2 linked regions of the Coturnix japonica genome follow. The protein of the gene in region 1 purifies or fractionates together with the protein of each later gene. This does not show direct contact. Links are inferred from orthologs where the notes say so. Each region holds a gene or a part of one and is shown on either strand. Other genes may lie near its edges.

Region 1 (3,817 bases):
AGGCACTCTGGAGATGCATACAATCACATTCACTTCTGGCAGCCCACCACAGCCTCCCCCCTGCTCATATGGAGCTTGGCAAGAGCCACCCACAGTGCAATCACTGAAAAGTGATTGCAGCAGAGTGAGGTTGGTCTCTTCTCACTGGTGACAGATGACAGGAGGAGGGGAAATGGCCTCACGTTGCACCAGAGGAGGTTTAGTTTGGATATCAGGAAGAATTTCTTTACAGAATGGGTTGTTAAGCACTGGAATAGGCTCCCCAGGGAGAGTCACCATCCCTGGATGTGTTTAAAAACCATCTGGATGTGGTGCTCAGGGACATGATTGAGTGGAGGGTTGTTAGTTAGGGTAGTATGGTTAGGTTGTGGTTGGACTTGATGATCTTTAAGGTCTTTTTCAATCTGAGCAGTTCTGTGATTCTATGAAGCTGCAGCACCCTCCTCCTGCTCACCAGTCTCAGCCTCCTCAGAGGGACCCTTCTTCACTCAGGCCAAGGGAAGAGGGAAGCACAACTTGATATGGACAGAATCCAGAATCTCCCTCTTGCCACTGCCTGCAAGGGCAGACAGCTGCACACTGGAATGCCATGCAACTGCTGCCCCCAGGGTGGGAATCACTGCCAGGTGGTGGATGTGCTCTAGACATTCAGCAGCAAAGCCACCAAAGGAAGGCCAGTGATCAATTTTTTCCTCCTCTGTTGGCAAACAGCTGTTTTGGGCAGCTGCATTCATCCTCCAGACCTTCTCACCTCATCTTTGAAGAGCTTGGCTTGGTCCTCACAACCCGTCAGAGTTTGAACAAAGCTAAAGACCTTGGAATAAACAGAAAGAAATGTCAAGATGGAAGCAATGTTTCTGTCTGGTGACACCCCACAAGATCACATCCTCATTTCCACAGAAGCTTTATGACTCCTTTAAGTTAACCCATGCCTGGTAGGGCAAAGTGCTGCATTCTCCTATGCCACTCCTGACCTGGGTGTAAGAAGCTGGAACAATTTTTGCCTCAAAGCTTGTTCAGCGGAACCCATCCAAGACATAGCCTGCACAACAAACAGCATGGGTGCTGGTCCTTTCCAGCCTCAGAGTAGCAAGTGCTACAATAGCTTTATCTCCAATAAGCCATCTCCAGACCAACAATACGATTCCCACCGAGGGACTGGGAGAGAAGTGGCGTGCACAGGAGGAATGGGAAATCAGGCAGAGCTGGGTGCTGGGGCTGCCAGTACAGTGTCAGAGGTCCAGCTACCCAGTCTTCAAGAGAGGCCACTACTGATACCAAAGAAAGTGAATGAGAGTGATGAGTATGAATCAGAAGTAAATATTTCATCACAGGAGAGAGAGGGAAGCGATTCCCCATTTGCAAAGTCTATGGGAGGTTTTTTGCTTGTTTGTTTTGTCTTGTTTTGTTTTGTTTTTTTATTATTTAGAAAAGAGAAAACTGATTTGGAAAACTGGTATGCTAAATGAAGACTGTTGTCCTTCACTGCCTGCCCTGCTAGCATTGCATTCAAGCCAAGGAAGAATCTGGTAGTTCTACATATTCTTCCCAAGCCACTGCCACCAGGGCATGCGACTGACAGCTGTCCACACCTCATTAGCCCAGGGAAAAGGCCACTGTTCTGTGCCTGGGATGTGTATCATGGTGCTGCCCAGCCAGCTCAAGTTCTCCCAGTCACGCCAGTGGGTTAGGAACCAGCACACACACTCCAAAACCATCTTACCTCATCAGTTGTCCATTTGGCTACTGTGGTTGCTGTGATGCCAGCCACTCCTGGTAGGAGTTTGCAGTGCTGCTCCCAACATAGAGATAGAGAGCGGTCAGGATGGGCAGACAGGGCAGACATGAAGAGTGACTGGTGCATGTTGTCTGAAGAAATAGCTGCCAATAAAAACGTAAGATATGATATAAAGAAGGGGGATGAGAACATCCTATTCCATTCTACAAGCCTTGGAGAAGACTCTGTTCAGGAGAGGACCTGGGGCTGGGAGCAGATGGTCTCATGGGGTCATGTTATCAAGGGCTAGTGGCTGTCCTTTGAATTAACAGGTTAATGATTCATTGGCATTCAATATGGTGGGACGGGGGATGGTGAGGGAAGTTCAGAGACCAGGCTGACTTTGCCTTGTTCTCTTCAGTCCTTCATGCTGAGATAAATTTCAATTCAAATTTCACACCAGAATACTATCCCTTATCATTCAACTAAATTTAGGTTTAAAACAAAACTTTAAGCCTTAGTCTAATGAGCCAATGATGGCTTCCAAAAAGAGACCTTCATTCACCTTCAGTGATGGGCTGAACACCAAGCCAGCCTATGGTAAAATCAATACTGGCTGGAGAAAATGCCTTACCACCCCACAGCCACTTATATCCCATGCCAACCATCAGAACTAGATGCCAAACAAAATGTTCAGCAACAGGTTCTGTTCTGCAGTAGTGTGGCACATCACACTGAGGATTTGGGGTATAGCACTGATAGGATGAAGGCACAGCACCTCTGGCTGAAGAAGACAAAGTGCCTGGAAAAATGCACAGCCAAAGAGATTGGGTCCCAATTCCCTGCCCCAAAGCATTCAAAGATTCATAGATACTATTCAAGAGAAGTGATGAGGGACCTAGCAGAGTTCTGATAAGAGTCATGGACATCCCTTGTTAGATGGTTTTGACATCATGAGGTCTACACAGCCCTCAGCCTGGTGCTGACCTGTGCAAGGACTAACTGAGCAAGCCAAGGAGAGACATACCTCTGCCAGCCACCACTCCAGCTCCTCAAGTCTTACCCCTGTTCTGCAATAACACCATGGCAGAGGAGCGCACTTACTCTGGAAATCTTCCTGCTGGATCTTCCGGTACTTTGGAGGTCGCCCTCTAAAGATAAAGGAAAACTGATTTCACTTGTGTTGGAACTGGCTAAGGGCCCTCCACCACACTGCACAGAGCAATGCCTTGACAGTAGGAGCAAGGCTTACCCTCAGACCCTGACAAAAAGGGTTGACAGCCAAAGAAACACAATGTGAATAGAAAAAACAAATAGGAGAGGTGTCCAAGGTCACTAAATAAGAGCTGCAATAACAAACACCAGCTGTCAGCAAGCATGCTCCCCTGCAGGCAAGGAGTCTCTCCAACTCAACCATCCATCCTACGGATGCTATGTGTAGCCCAGTGGCTCCACACAGGCTTGCCCCTACCTCCCATGGTGCCGAGATTTCTTCCGCTGAGAGAAGCCAATCAGGTTCCTCTTGCGAGTTGAGGCCTCAGTATCAGACAAGTCTGCCTTAAGCCTGCCCTGGTTCTTCTCTGCCAGAGGGCACCCTGAGAGGCAGTAGTGTGCTGTGAATCTCCCTGTCACATGTCCTGATCCATCACAGCCCGGCGTGGGGCACTTCCTGGAGAACAGAGGGCAAGTGAGAGTTGGACAAAGCATGAGGCAAGAGTGGGTGAACCTGGCTTGGGACCACCCTATGACACCAAATGCTGGAAGCCATAACCCTGGTCAAACAAAGCATAGTAAAGACTTGCTGATCACATTCCCTGGAGTCATGGTGATAGCTGCATGGGTTCATAGATACGGCAAATCCAGTCCCTCCAGGTATGAACACCTGTCCTATCTTGTCCACTGGCATCACAGCCACCCTGTGCAAGTCAGCAGAATGCTGATCAAGCACATCAGTGGGGTTCGTAGGAGTGCTTCCTCACAAGCATTAAAATTAGCCTCAGAGTAAGGCATGTGCCATGACTGTGACTAAGCAGGTAAACCCCAGGGAGCCAGACTTGCCTCCCTCATTCTCAAGTACTCTCTGCTATACTTGCTCCTCTG
Region 2 (3,817 bases), on another chromosome or scaffold:
AACAAACCGTGGCCACAGAGTTGTTACGCTGATAGAGGAAAACACGTTATCTTTGCCAGCGTACATACCAGTATTACCAGCTTGCTCCTTTCACAGATTCCTGGTAAGTAAGGATAAGGCTGAACACTTCCTCCCTTTAGACAGGAACTCAGCCACTGAAAGATACTTGGAGGCTCAGCAGAAAAAAATGCGGGATGATGCATGAAACCTGTTTGGATTTAATGGCACGAACAGTCTTGACACCACATTCATGGCAAATGCACAAAAACTGTTTTCTGTTCTCAAAACAAACCCTACACCATTTCTGGTATTTCAAAGCATTATGGATCACATCTGCCTTCTGTCAGATGCAAGCTTATGGCTAGACTGTAATGAAAGAATGAAACATCTTTGTGTCTTTTAAGGAAGTATCAACCTACTGTGAAAAGTAACGTATGTAATTTCTAATTTTCAAAAACCTCAGGGGAACAGTCTTGTCCTTAAACATCAAATCACTAAGTGAGAGAGCAGCCTAACTATAACCTCTTTGTCCTCCCTATTCACAAACACAAATGGCAAAGCCTGACCAATATGATGAGATTATATTTTTTGTGCCAGGAAAAAGAGTATTTTGTTTTGCGTGACCAGCAAATTTCAGCTGGTAGTACATTAAACAGATGCACAAAAAAATAAGTGATCTTATTTTAGCTTTCATCATTGTGCTTTGAGCTCTGATTTCATTTTAAAGGACTATAAACTGAGAGCTTGCAGCAGAAGCACACCTCATTACCAGGTTTTTCCATAGCTCTCCACAAATACTTCTCAGCCAGCCTGAGCTAGGAGTTTGCTGAAATAAAACCATCAACTTTCTCCCAGGTCCTTGCTGTGAAACATCTCATGAAGCACTACACTGAAGGCATCAGCTTGTCACTGCAGGGTTCTAACAGACTTTTAAAGACAAAGGAACGAGACAACCCATGCACAGTTTCACATTTGGTTTAAGTCCTATCCAGCTATCAACATGCTCAGTATTAAGAGAACTTACACACCAATACCATTGAGCACTCGCTTCACATAGCCTTAAAAACTCACCTTGATCAATTATGCAAGTCTGTCCAGAGCTTTTTACAAGGGCTGGATAGTCTCGGTAGTAGTAATCTATATAAGCTTCAAGTTTCAAGTCCCTAGAATGAAAGATGTGAATCATCATACAGTGAAAAACAAAAAGAAAACTCCACGCCTTCTTCCATTTCTGACATTTTCTATTTACTTTTAATATTCGTAATAAACATCAGATACAAGGGGTGAAGCTCTGACTTCTTTAACTAGAGTTGCTTATGGGCATTGCCCCTTTGCAAAGCAAGTAACCTGCATGCTTTATTTCCCCCCAGTGCACTACTTTCCAGCTGTAGTTCTGCTTTGTGCCACACCACCACCACTTACAGCATAGCAACTGTCACTACAACATTCCCAAACTTCCAAATGTTAAAAAGTTAGATAACAAGCTGAGTTTATCTGCAAGATGCGAATGCAAACAACAGCTTCCAGCCACAACAGATACACAGCATTTCATCACAGAGTTGCTTTTCATTGGCATGACAGGATAATGCACAGTTCAATCTTCCCAGGACTAGGGGCTACTTCTGGAAACTACTCCAGTCAACCAACTGCAGTGCCAGGGGAAGAATCTATAGCCAAAGAGATTTTGGTAGAAATATCAAATAAAACTTGGAGAGGCTTTACTGAGTCTTTTGCTTATACAGATAATTGTACGCATGTGTGTCTATACATATGCAATGCAATCTCAATGTGAGGGTGGAAGATGTAAGGATGCAGTCACTGGCTGCAGTAAAAACACCACAAAGATGAATATTTGATAAATCTTGTGAGCTTAGTCAATGCAGTAGACAAAAATGCGAGCTGTCCCGGGTACACAATTTCAGCTGCCAGGGAGGCAACACAGCATGAAAAGCAAGTACTGTGTTTCTTATCATGATCTAAACGGTAAGGTCATGTAAAACCAGAACCGAGATGAGATTCTGGTTATGTTTTAAAGCAAAACAAACACCTACCACCACCAGCAAGAAATCACTAAATGAAGAACACTTTTATCTGAGCAACTGAGCACTGAAAGTCAACAAGGTGTTTTTACTTCTGTCTGCACTCTATGATGTATAACATCTGTTGAGTAGACTTCCTCCCTCTCCCTTTTCTTGTATTGCAGGAGCAAAAGCCATCTACCAAGAACTACTATTTGTGAGTCATGCTTATGCTGGTAAGTGGTCAGGACTATACAAGAGATTTCCTATAACAAATATCTTCAACTGTTATTATTCATTTTCTTCAGAAATATGAAAGTCTGTTCACACTTTGGGTAATCCCCAAAACAATAACATCAAGAGATACTACACAACATACAGCACCTGTGATTTGTTGGTTTGGCATACCTGGCCAGCTGAACCAGAAGAACAACAAGTGACCGATTCTCTTCTCCCATCAGAAGGTTCAGTTTGAACTCCTCATAGACCAGATGAAGAACAAAGAAAATAGCAGGAATATGGGTGAAAAGGAGAGTTGAATAATCCAGGCTAAGGCTCTGTAAGAAGTCATCCTTTGGAGCTAAAACTTCCAGAGGGTCCAATCCCAAGACTTTGGATAGAGGATGAGACTCAAAATTTCTGTGGTAATCAGAGCTCAAGAGATATTCCCAGTCCTAGACAAAGCAAATAGGAGAAAGAGGCAACAAACAATGAACAGACTTTCAGCAAAAGAACTCCATGGCACCACTGCAGAGGGGTCTTCCCCACAACCAGTACAAACACCGTTAAGGTGCCACACAAACCCTGCAAGCTACATTGCACAGATTCAATCGTTACACTGTATCTTCCCATCCTTCCTCCAGTTATGCATAAAATGAATCAAAGCATTAACATTTAAGAAAACAGAGAGATGGAAACTGATTTGAAGTGCCTTCTTTGCACTAATAATTCTGTGTGGCGCCGTGCTGTAATTCACATAGTGCCCCCAGCCTTTTTTCTACTTCCATCACAGCATGTTGGGCATTTACATCTTAACCTGTTTCATACAGATTGCAGCCTGTAAGCCCCATGGGTTCACTGAGCTGCCAACCTACAAAACCTAGTGGCACAATTGTACCACTGTAGCTTGTAAGCTTCTTACAGTGGAATGCTAGTAAGCCTTATCCACTTCATTGCTTGACTATGTTAGAGAACAACCTTCCTACTCTTACCTAGGCAAAACCTGGTGAATCAATCTTGAACACACTGCTAAATTCAGAAAGAACCAGTGCATTCAGTGGAGCATGTAATTTGATGCTCTTAACTTGCTGAAGGTGCTGAGTGGAGGAGAGAGTAAGCCAACTTTTTTTTAAGGGGATAGAACATCTAGGATGTTCTATATGTTCTATTTGTTGTCTATATGTTGTCTATTTGGCAGTCAAAAAACTGCAACGTGTTGCTTTGTAATTCATGTTAAATTCATTCCTGAATCTAACTTCTCTGAAATTGGGACCTGACAAGAAAAGGTCACATGATACAGACGCAGCACAGTGCAAAACAGCTTTCCTTCCCCCACAGGCTTGCAATCCCTGGTGAGTCCAGATCAGAGGTGTTTCTTCTGGATTATCTTAAAAAACAAAACAACACACCCCCAGCTTTCATTTGTCAAAGAGAACTATTTCTTACTTCATCTGATCCTGTTTCTGATGGCCTAGCTTTCTTTGGTGCACTCACTGGTGACGGTGATCCTCCAACATTAAGCTGCAAGAAACAAGACCAAGGTTGTGTAAGTAATACACCAGTCCTAATACGTCCACTCA

Evidence for each region.
Region 2: the proteins of L3MBTL1 (region 1) and ANAPC1 purify together in Homo sapiens (affinity purification with mass spectrometry; 4 studies listed by BioGRID and IntAct, counting the BioPlex papers as one, with this or other methods). This does not show direct contact. The link is inferred for Coturnix japonica from reciprocal best matches to the Homo sapiens genes L3MBTL1 and ANAPC1.

The regions. Positions count from the first base shown.
Region 1 is NC_029535.1:4,547-8,363, forward strand, and holds part of L3MBTL1 (lethal(3)malignant brain tumor-like protein 1), read right to left. Parts: intron 3,387-3,817; coding exon 3,189-3,386; intron 2,886-3,188; coding exon of another isoform or gene 2,869-2,885; coding exon 2,822-2,868; coding exon of another isoform or gene 2,777-2,821; exon of another isoform or gene 2,745-2,776; intron 1,882-2,744; coding exon 1,724-1,881; intron 815-1,723; coding exon 752-814; intron 1-751. UniProt on the Homo sapiens protein: Polycomb group (PcG) protein that specifically recognizes and binds mono- and dimethyllysine residues on target proteins, thereby acting as a 'reader' of a network of post-translational modifications.
Region 2 is NC_029518.1:4,569,642-4,573,458, reverse strand, and holds part of ANAPC1 (anaphase-promoting complex subunit 1), read right to left. Parts: intron 3,759-3,817; coding exon 3,684-3,758; intron 2,693-3,683; coding exon 2,427-2,692; intron 1,164-2,426; coding exon 1,072-1,163; intron 209-1,071; coding exon 69-208; intron 1-68. UniProt on the Homo sapiens protein: Component of the anaphase promoting complex/cyclosome (APC/C), a cell cycle-regulated E3 ubiquitin ligase that controls progression through mitosis and the G1 phase of the cell cycle.